Linked DNA regions of Oryctolagus cuniculus. The protein of the gene in region 2 interacts with the protein of the main gene of each other region in a biochemical or structural test. Links are inferred from orthologs where the notes say so. Each region holds a gene or a part of one and is shown on either strand. Other genes may lie near its edges. The genes, in order: PTPN6, ERBB4 and ABL2.

What was found.
Region 1: the proteins of ERBB4 (region 2) and PTPN6 form a complex in vitro, tested with the Homo sapiens proteins (2 studies listed by BioGRID, with this or other methods). The link is inferred for Oryctolagus cuniculus from reciprocal best matches to the Homo sapiens genes ERBB4 and PTPN6.
Region 3: the proteins of ERBB4 (region 2) and ABL2 form a complex in vitro, tested with the Homo sapiens proteins (2 studies listed by BioGRID and IntAct, with this or other methods). The link is inferred for Oryctolagus cuniculus from reciprocal best matches to the Homo sapiens genes ERBB4 and ABL2.

The regions. Positions count from the first base shown.
Region 1 is NC_091440.1:102,583,733-102,587,381, reverse strand, and holds part of PTPN6 (tyrosine-protein phosphatase non-receptor type 6), read left to right. Parts: intron 1-1,875; coding exon 1,876-2,007; intron 2,008-2,141; coding exon 2,142-2,296; intron 2,297-3,649. UniProt on the Homo sapiens protein: Tyrosine phosphatase enzyme that plays important roles in controlling immune signaling pathways and fundamental physiological processes such as hematopoiesis.
Region 2 is NC_091434.1:28,236,419-28,240,067, reverse strand, and holds part of ERBB4 (receptor tyrosine-protein kinase erbB-4), read right to left. Parts: intron 1,206-3,649; coding exon 760-1,205; 3' UTR 1-759. UniProt on the Homo sapiens protein: Tyrosine-protein kinase that plays an essential role as cell surface receptor for neuregulins and EGF family members and regulates development of the heart, the central nervous system and the mammary gland, gene transcription, cell proliferation, differentiation, migration and apoptosis.
Region 3 is NC_091438.1:7,315,482-7,319,130, forward strand, and holds part of ABL2 (tyrosine-protein kinase ABL2), read right to left. Parts: intron 2,915-3,649; coding exon 2,737-2,914; intron 2,208-2,736; coding exon 2,023-2,207; intron 109-2,022; coding exon 1-108. UniProt on the Homo sapiens protein: Non-receptor tyrosine-protein kinase that plays an ABL1-overlapping role in key processes linked to cell growth and survival such as cytoskeleton remodeling in response to extracellular stimuli, cell motility and adhesion and receptor endocytosis.

The DNA.
Region 1 (3,649 bases), on a different chromosome or scaffold from region 2:
GGCCCCATTGTTCACCACCGAAACAAAGAAACTGAAGATGCCAGGGCAGAAAGGGACCTTAGGGGGTGAGGGTTTAACCCCTGCTGGGAGGAGGGGTGGCAACGCTGTGACGCAGTAGGTTAACCCTCCGCCTGTGGTGCTGGCATCCTATATGGGTGCTGGTTCTAGTCCTGGCTGCTCCTCTTCTGATCCAGCTCTCTGCCATGGCCTGGGTAAGCAGTGGAAGATGGCCCACGCAGGTGCAGGGGCCCAAGGACTTGGGCCATCTTCTACTGCTTTCCCAGGCCATAGCAGAGAGCTGTATTGGAAGTAGAGCAGCCAGGACTAGAACTGGTACCCATATAGGCTGCCGGCACTGCAGGTGGGGCTCAGCTATGCCACAGCGCCAGCCCCAAGCCCCATGTTTTAAACTGTCCTTCCCCTTACCGTGTTTGGAAGCAAAGCTTACTGCTGCCCATTCCCCATGTGTCCCCCTGCAGGCCCCTCTTGTTCTGTCTCATAAATGGCTCTGGAGCCCACCCCTTACTCTCTGGGCTCGCCCTTCCATGGCACCTCCTGTCCTGCAGCCAAAGTGACCCTGCCCAAAGCACACAAACTTGACCCCATGGCTTCCTCTCTGGAAACCCTCTAGTGGCTCCCAGCTGCCCTCCACCTGAGTTTTCAGTGTAAGGCTGGCACCCGTGGCACCCACCATCTCCCGTGGGTCAGGCTCTTCAGGCTTCTGTGGCTTTGCCCAAACTCATTTTATTCTCTCCCCATACTGTCTCTGTCTTGTCTTTCTTTCTTTCTTTCTTTCTTTCTTTCTTTCTTTCTTTCTTTCTTTCTTTCTTTCTTTCTTTCTTTCTTTCTTTCTTTCTTTCTTATTTACTCATTAGGGTCGGTGCTGTGGCCTAGTGGGTAAAGCTGCCGCTTGAGGTGCCGGCATCCCATGTGGGGGCCGGTTTGAGTCTGGCTGCTCCACTTCTAGTCTGGCTCTCTGCTATGGCCTGGGAGAGCAGTAGAGGATGGCCTGAGTCCTTGGGCTCCTACACCCACGTGGGAGACATGGAGGAAGCTCTTGGCTCCTGGCTTTGGGTCAGTGTAGCTCTGGCCGTTGTGGCCAATTGAGGAGTGAACCAGCAGATGGAAGACTCTCTCTCTCTGCCTCTCCTTCTCTCTCTGTATAGCTCTGACTTTCAAATGAATAAATAAATCTATTTTTTCTTTAAAAAAAAAAAAAGGTTTACTTATTTATTTTTTGAAAGGCAGGGTTACAGAGAGGCAGAGGCAGAGAGAGAGAGGTCCTCCATCTGCTGGCTCACTGCACAGATGGCCGTAATGGCTGGAGTTGGGTTGATCCAAAGTCAGGAGCCAGGAACCCCCTCTGGGACCCCAAGCGGGTGCAGGGGCCCAAGGACTTGGGCCATCCTCTACTGCTCTCCCAGGCCATAGCAGAGAGCTGGATCAGAAGTGGAGCAGCCTAGACTTGAACTGGCGCCCACAGGGATGCTGGCACTGCGGGTGGTGGCTCTACCCACTGTGTCACAGTGCCAGGCCCTCTGCCTCATTTTTGAAGACCAGCTCAAGTGCTGCCTCCTCTGTGAAGCCTCTCTGATTGCCTCCAGAGCCCAGGGGGGAAATTAGCCCCTTCTAGTGTGTTCTGTTTGTTCTAATTTTCCCTGCTCCCCAGTCCTTCTTGAGCTTCCGAGGTGCAGGGCACAGGTGGGGTCTCCTTTATATTTGTAACCTGCATTGACGTTTATTCTCCCAATTGTACGTGGCTGCTCAGGTCTCACCGTGTTGTCTGAGCCAAGACCAGATCCTAGGTGGCCCGACCGACCGCCAGCTCCAATCCCTGGGCCTCATTCCCCACCTCTACCCGCCCCTCCCTTCCAGAACAAGTGTGTCCCCTACTGGCCTGAGTTGGGCACCCAGCGTGTCTATGGACTCTACTCCGTGAGCAACTGCAGGGAGCACGACACGGCAGAGTACAAGCTGCGCACCTTACAAGTCTCCCCGCTGGACAACGTGAGTGTCCCCCGCCTCTGGCCCAACTTCCAGAGCCCCTGCTTGGACTTGCTGCCGTGTCTGGCTGGGTGGGATGAGGCAGGAAGAGGTGTCATGTGAGAGTTGGGAGCTCTGACCCTGTGTCTTCCATCCAGGGGAACCTAGTTCGGGAGATCTGGCACTACCAGTACTTGAGCTGGCCTGACCACGGGGTGCCCAGCGAGCCCGGGGGTGTCCTCAGCTTCCTGGACCAGATCAACCAGCGACAGGAAAGTCTGCCTCACGCAGGCCCCATCATCGTGCACTGCAGGTGAGCATCGTCTGAGGACGTCAGTCATAAGGAAAACAGCCGTGGAGAAGTGGCTGTTGCTAAGCACCTGTCGTGCACTGTCCTGAGCACCTTGCAGATGAACTCTTTAAAAAAAAAAAAGATTTATTTATTTGAAAGGCATAGTTATAGAAAGTAGGGGGTGGGGAGAGACAGAGAAGTATCTTCCATCTGCTGGTTCACTCCCCAAGTGGCTGCAATGGCTGGAGTTGGGCTGATCTGCAGCCAGGAGCCAGAAGCTTCTTCTGGGTGTCCCACGCGGGTGCCGGGGCCCAAGGACTTGGGCCATCTTGTACTGCTTATAGAGAACTGGAGTGGAGGTGGAGCAGCCAGGACTCCAGCCACTGCCCCAGTGGACACCGGTGCCGCAGGTGGCTGCTTTACCCAATACACCACAGCGCCGGCCCCACAGATCAACTCTTTCAGTGCCTTCTCCAACTCTCAGCCTCCTCGGCCCCCATCGCCTGAGACTCCACCCTCAGCCTGGGTGTGTCTCCTCAGGACCCCTCCCCTGTATGGAAACCGAGCCCCAGCAACCTGCCAGGTGTCAGCGGGAGGGCTGGCCTTGGCACTCACCGTAATCCCAGGTCATGGCAGCCCCTGTTTTCCCTCATGGCCTGCAACTGGCCCCCAGCACCTTCCCTCTGGGGTCAGTGTGGCCCCATCCCTCCTCTTTTTCCCTCTGCAGCCTCGGGCTTCTTCTTTGCCCCTCCTTGTCTCCCCCCTTCCCCAGCCAGAACCCCCCATCTTGGCCCGCAGTGAGGTGTGGGGATGGCGGTATCTTTGGGAGGGGCACACGCACCCCCAGCTCCTCTGCACACTCTCATGTTCAAGGTCAGGGGAAGTGGGGAGGCGGGGGTTCCATAATAGCCCACCGAGCCCAGCCTGGGCACATTGGGGGTGGTGGGGATGGGTCTGGGATGCGGGCCACCTGTTTCAGTCTGGTGCCTCCTGCTGCCAGCTGTGTGATCCGGGGCAAAGAACTTAACTTCTCTGACTCCCACAGTCCTCTTCTGTGCACTCAGGATCTCAGAGCTGTCATGAGGCCTCGGTGAGGCCTCCGGGAGCTGTTGGCGGTGGTTTTGTAACTCACTGTCAGGCAGGGAGTGGGGCAGTGTGAACCGGCTTTGTCTTCCCTTCCCGCTCTGTCCATGTGCCTCCAGGCCCATGAGGTCTTTAGACTGCCTCCTCCCCACCAGCGACTGTGTGTCCCCAGGCAGGCTGGATGGGCTGGATCCCGGATGGGCAGGTGCCCACGTGTGCTATCTCAGGGACCTGGCTCTGCCCTCCCAGGCTCAGGCCCATCCCCGAGAACTGTCCTCTGCGGGCCTCCGT
Region 2 (3,649 bases):
AATTTTGAAGACTGTCTATTTAAAATAGTATCTATTTCACCACATTAAGTATCTCTTACCTAAATTCTGTCAAAAAGCTTTGATGTAAATATCCTTGCAGTTAGAACTTAAAGGCAAATATAGGAAAGAAACTAATATTAGGACCACGTCAAAGCAAAAACAAAATTAAAAGAATAGGCTTTAAAACATAATTACTGCTTCAAACTTTGATAGAGACTTAAAAACTGGTTGGCCATTCTTACTTCCTAAGATAGAGACTGTTGGCAAAAGAAATAGGATTCTCTATCTCGGTTACTAGTGTATGTTATATTAGAAAGGGCTATCCTTTTGTTCTGATGGAAACTTTATTATGATTTCAGAGGTGTTGATTATGCATACATCAGTTCCTACAGATAGGAACAGATAGTACAGGTGTTTCAACCCTCTACATTAAAAGAAAGAAAAAAAGAGCTGAGAATTAGTTTGGCAGCAGGCAGTACTGCCTCACATGTTCGGGTCCTTTTCTAGCTGTTCCATTCTGCTACCAACCCATGCAGAGAAATGAAGAAACAGTGAAGTTCCACCTATCTTCCTCTTTCAGCCCTTCCTTCTAATGTTCACGTTACATAAGCGCATAACTATCATTGCATCTCTATGTCTTCCACGGGGAAGTGTCAGAACTACTGGCCTTAGGGATAGGAGGAAGGACACCAGAGCAAGAGAGGGGGTGTGGAAACTGGAGTGGGCTTGTCTCTCCACTTCAAAACTACACAGCTGAGCTTATACCACAGTATTCCGGTGTCTGTAGGGTGGAGGAGGCAGCACAGTGCCTGGCTTCAGTGAGAACTCAGAGAGGTATTCAGGATTCTCTGCCACAATGGGCCGGATCCGTCCATTCTGTTTATAAAAATATTTTGTGCTGTACTCCTGCAGGTAGTCTGGGTGCTGAAGGGTGCTCCGAGGCGGCAGGCTGTGGTTCCAGTAGTCAGGGTTGTCAAATGCTTTCTTGGCCTTCTCTGGCACAGACAGTACGTTGTTCTTCAGGTACTCCGCATTCCCCAAGGCATTGGCAAATGTGTTGAGGTACAATGGCTCATTCACGTACTCATCCTCTGCCTTGGGTGGACCACTAGAAGCCTTGTGATACTCAGGATTATCCAAAGCTTGAAGTTCTCCATTTTTTCTTCGAGAAACAAAAGGATTCTCTTCCACAGGATTCAGGTATTCTGAAGGGACACAAAAATAACAGTTAACATATATTCTCTGGAAAGCGTTTGTCAGATGAAGGTTATAAACAAAGGTCAACTTGTTTGTTGAGAACAAGAAAGTGGCACACTTGTTTCTCACAGCTATTTGTGGATTACTAAAAATGTTTACGTGGACCAGAAATAACAAAGTTAATAACAAAGCAAGGCAACAACAAGGTGAGGATCAGAATTCCTATCTCCCAGACTGTTTTTCTTTTCTTCTTAATTGTCTTTCCTACATATGGGACCAGTTATTTTAATGCTTCTTTTTTCTAGAAGTCAGTAATTTATATTAGAAAATAAGATTACCTATCAGGCTAGAAAAATGTAGAGAAGTCAGAATTCTTATAAAGCATATGGTAAAACAAAGGATTAATAGCTTAACTCTACACCACACTGAAGAAATAAAGTAAAGAAATAGTTGTTTCAGATTATATGGTTTCCTGTGAATGTCTGTACAAGTAACAAGGATCCCACTGAACTTTTATATGTAGGAAGAAGAGTATCTAAAGAAAAAAATGAATGAAAACATCTAATATTTTCTAGTTGGCTCTCTGGATTTTATATATGAAACTGCTTAATAAGAAAGTATAATTACAAAAATAATTTTCAATATTTAATCATAATGGAAAAATAGCAAACTAAGTTTGAATCATATTAAATAGCTGTTTTGTATCTTGAACCAGTCATTTAGTGCCTATTTTTGTATGGCTCAGTCTACTAAATCCATCTGGTATAATAAGTATTAGCCTAAAATACAAAAATGATGATAATTAATGCTGCTCTCCTCAAGCTTAATTGCATCTCTATGTATATAATATAGATGACATATAAACATATACACACAGATGGAGCAGATCCTTTTTTGGTCCTTGCTTTTACTGCATACACAAAACACTAAGTTATTCCTATTTTTGAGTCAGAACATGGATATGGCACAAGTCTTTGTTCAGATGCCATCATTCTGAAATAAACTTTCTAAACCCTATACTTAGCCCAACAACATGTAGAAGACAAAAATTCAATCAAGCTCTGAATATAAGCATTTTGATAAAGTTAATCATTAAGCATCATTTGTGAAAGTCGAAAGGCAATAATGAATATCCTAGATTCATATAAATATATACAAATGAATTAAAGAAAGCTCAATAATTTCTAAAACACTATTGATCCCAAATGACTATCTTGTGAAAAATGAGGTGCAACCTTTACTTTTATAGCTTTATAAATAGTAAACTTGTATTTTCTTTTGTGAATACAATCTACTCATCTATTGTCCTCATGTAAACTTATGTAACCATCTGGTTATATATGGAGAAAAAACATTATGGTTGAATGACAATCTTTCCAGAGAGGAGTCTGCTTTCAAGACAATCTGCCAAATCTTCAGAAAACCTACATATGTGTCACCAAGATACAGTTCATCATTAAATTAAAACTTTTCTATATCTTGACAGATTATTTGAATTTATAATATGTATTTAGGGAATCTCTAAATTATATTTGATAAGTGAACATAACCACATAGAAAAGGACCCATACTGAGCCATAAAATAGATGTTGAAGCTGCCACTGAAGACTCTGACAGACATGATCATTGCTTTCTTTTTTTAAAACATTTAGTTATTTTATTTTAAAGTCAGAGTTACACAGAGAGAGAAGGAGAGGCAGAGAGAAAGAGGTCTTCCATACACTGGTTCACTCCCCAGATGGCTGCAATAGCTGGAGCTGTGCCAACCCGAAGCCAGGAGCCGGGAGATTCTTCTGTATCTCCCATGCAGGTTCAGGAGCCCAAGGACTTGGACCATCTCTACTACTTTTCCAGGCTATGGCAAAAAGCTGAATAGAAAGTGAAGCAGCCAGGTCTTGAACCTGTGCCCATATGGGTTGCCGGCACTGCAGGTGACAGCTTTACCCATGATGCCACAGCGCCGGCCCCATGGTCATTGTTTTCTAATAACAATCATCTGTTCATCTGTCCTATCCATTTCATGATGCCATTAACATGGAAGAAAGCACCTTGTGGCACTCCAAAAATTTTTTGAATCATTTGATGTGGATGTTTAACAATTCTACTCTAACTTTACAAAGTCATTGTTGTGTCTTGAAAAACCACAACCTGTTATTTTCAAGACTTGGAGGTATACATATAGGTATATAAATGTCACATCTTTAATTTTTGAAATGTGTCTTACAAGAAATCATAATTTCCCATAATAAACTATATTATTCAAGTGGCACTATTTAAATGGATCAACCAAATCTTTTATTGGTGTTATCAAAAGCTTCAGACAAGGGCCAGTGCTGTGGCATAGTGGGTAAAGCCACAGCCTGCTGTGCCAGCAGCCCATATGGTTTCCAGTTGCACCACTTCAGATCCAGCTCCCTGCTAATGTGCCTGGGAAAGCAGTGGAAGATGGTCC
Region 3 (3,649 bases), on a different chromosome or scaffold from region 2:
GCTCCATTCGATAGCCTTTTTCCAGCAGATCATAGACCTGGGACAGGTCAATACCTGGATATGGTGACATTCCATATGTAGCAATTTCCCATAACAGTACCCCAAAAGCTGCAAAGGGGATTTAAAAAAGTAGTATTACTTCTTCTTTTTTATAGAATTACAATTTTTTTTAAAAAGATTTATTTATTTTATTTGAAAGGCAGAGTTACAAAGAGAGAAAAGGAGAGGCAGAGAGAGAGAGAGAGAGAGAGATCTTCCATCAGCTGGTTCACTCCTCAGTTGGGAGATCTTCCATCAGCTGGTTCACTCCTCAGTTGGCCACTACGGCCAGAACGGCTGATCTGAAGCCAGGAGCCAGGAGCCAGGAGCCTCCTCCGGATCTCCCACGTGGGTGCAGAGGCCCAAGGACTTGAGCCATCTTCTACTGCTTTCTCAGGCCATAGCAGAGAGCTGGATCGGAAGTGGAGCAGCCGGGACTTGAACTGGTGTCCACAAAGGATGCTGGCTCTACAGGCTGGGGCTTTACCGGCTACACCACAGTGCCAACCCTGTAATATTACTTCTGATTTACTACTTCTGTTATGAGCTAATCTCTCTCTTAACTTGTAATGTTTATCCACTATTACAACACTAATATATCCTTTTCCCAGTTCTTACAGTCTCACTTGTCCTAGAAGGTATCTGCTCCCAGAATACTGCAGATAATTCTCAGAACAGTTTTCTTTGAAATTCCCATTCCTGGGCCGGAGTTGTGGTGCATCAGGTGGAGCTGCCGCCTGTGACAGTGCTGCTTTGAGCCCCGGCTGTTCGTTTCTGATCCAGCTCCCTAGAAGTGCACCTGGGAAAGCAGCAGCAGATGGCCCAAATACTTGGTTCCTGCCACCCCTGTGGGAAACCAGGATAGCTCCAGGCCCCTGGCTTCAGCCTGGTCCAGACCCAGACCCAGACACTGAGGAGTGAACCAGCAGAGAGAGGATCTCTCTCCCTCTCTCTCCCTCTCTCTCTTTGCCTTCCAAATAAAGAAATTAATCTTTTAAAAATATATCAAGCTAACAATTTTTATTTCCATACCCTTTAAAATTCCAATGAGGGACAACAAATTATAACCATGTAAGAAGTGAGGGGGCAGAATCCAGCTATTCTCAGAACTGTGTCTGACATGCCTACTTTGTTTCACAATTTTCCAGTCGGCTAATATCAGAGGACTGAAATTAAAAGATCCATCTGAACGCTCCTAAGGGGCAGGCATTTAACCCAGTAGTTACGACACAGGTTGAGATGCCCACTGCCTTACACGAATGCCTGGGTTTGGTATCTAGTTCTAGTTCCTAACTACAGTTTCCTGCTACTGCAGACACTGGAGAGCCACACTGATAGCTCAAGAGCTTGGGTTCCGCCACCACATAGGCGGCCTGGGTTGAATTCCCAGCTCCCAGTTTTGGCCCAACCTTGTCTTAGCCCTTGCTGAACCAGCACATGGGAGCTTTCTCTCTCTGCCTCTGAAATAAATAAATACATAAAATCTACAACAGAAAAAAGAATTTGCTCAATGTTGTCACACTCTAAGAGTCTGCTGGATAAAATGACTCGGAATGCTACAGCCACTTCGGTCGGCTCACAGTGCAGACCTCCCTACAAAGTCTCGCTGCCCTTCAGGCTGCCAGAAAGCAGCTCTGCTACAAGGAAAAATGCAGGTGGAGAGGGGGCCCTGTATCCCCGAGCTGCGGGAGCGTGACGAAGCCCAAGGTGGAAGGCAGAGAGAGAGGGGGTCACAGCTTCACGACAGGGGACACCTGGATGGCTGTGACCTCTCTGAAGGCAGGGACTTCCCCTGTAAACCTTTTCTTTATGCTTCTTCCTGCACTAAGTTCCTCACACAGTGCTTGGCAGACAGGAGGGATGCAAGAAGGGGGAGATCAGGCGGAGAATTCTGAGTATCACATAAAAAAGACTCTAAGGGATCGAGAGCATTTATAATGAAGAAAAGCGGCACAAGCAGGAAAGTGGGTGTTGCAAGCTTACCCCACACGTCAGACTTAATTGAGAAGGTGTTGTAGGCAAGACTCTCTGGTGCTGTCCACTTGATAGGGAACTTGGCTCCGGCATGAGCAGTATAGGTGTCTCCAGTCATCAGTCTACTCAAGCCAAAGTCAGCCACTTTTACCACGTGGTTTTCTCCCACTAGGCAGTTCCGAGCTGCAAGATCTCTGTGGGATAGAGAACCCTGATGTGATTCCATTCAAATGGTGAGCAAAGTGGTCACAAACGCTTTATTCTCTTGTGCTACAAGAGCTGCTAAGTGCTGACAATCACTAACATGGCACAAAGTCACTGACTACACATCTCAGAGTACTCAGTGACAGGCAGTTAAGCAGGTTCTGAAGTAAAGGGACTTTGTGAAATGGGTTCCAGGTGACAAGAAGCTGGGACAGGTGTCAGAGGTGAGCGACAGCTGCTTTTCTTTAAGGTTTTAGGTCCTTCATCGAAACAGAAAGCTACCTTACAATTCAGCCACTAGAGGGAGCAAAAGGGCCTTGGTGCTGAGCAATAGAAACCCTTTGTTTTGACAAAGGCTCAGCACGGCACTTTGATCAGAGAGCAGTGGGACTGCAGGTTGGAAAGGACATCACGGGCCTCCTCAAAGACGTAATTACTGCCTGGATTCATCTGAGAACTTCCGGAAGGGTCTCTGCTCCTTCATCTCCTCATCACGGGCAGCACGCAGGCTGTACGTACCGATGGATGAAATTCTTCTTCTCTAAATACTCCATGGCAGAAGAGATCTGCGTGGCCATGTAGAGCAGCACCACGGCCGTCACCTCCTCACGGCTGCACTCCCGGAGGTAATCGAGCAAGTTCCCGTACGGCATGTACTCGGTCACAATGTAAAAGGGCGGCTCCAGGGTGCACACGCCTGGCATTGGAGAACAGAGCTCGTCTTACTAGCGCGTACGCAGAACAATCCATTTCATAGTTCTGTTGTTTGCTCACCAGCTTGGTGAAATCTTTCCCCTTCTTAGCACCTCATTTTCTGCAATTAATACAGCAAAATTCAGGACGTTGGCTCAGGGCAGGCACCTGACCTGTGGTGGAGACACCTCTTGGGGTGTCTGCATTCCACACTGGAGAGCCTGGGTGCAAGTCCCAGCTCTGCTCTTGATTCCAGTTTCCTGCTAAGATGTACCCTGGGAGGCAGATTCCTGACTCAGCCCCAGCGGTTGCAGACATCTGAGGAGTGAACCAATGGATGGAAGATCTCTGGCTCCCAGCCTTTCTTGAAAAGAAAAGGAAAAACAGAGGAGAGGAGAAGGACGGGGGGAGAGAGGAAGAAATAAAGAAAACTGAGAAGGGAGTCTCTGCTTCACTACGCTGTTCTCTGGAAATTCGTATGCCTTTGAGTATTCGCCTGTTTGGGCAGAAGTGGATTTACTTGTATTAACTCCATAAGGGGCTAAGACGACCATAAATAATTAATTAACTTCTACATCAAAGGCAGAAAGACAGAGATATATAGACAGGGAGATCTTCCCTCTGTTGGCTCACCCTCCTCTGCCCCCAAAATGCCCACTGGGCAAGGCTGAAGCCAGGACCTGGGAACTCCAGCAGCTCCTCCCATGTGGTGACACACACAGTACTTGGGCCATCGACT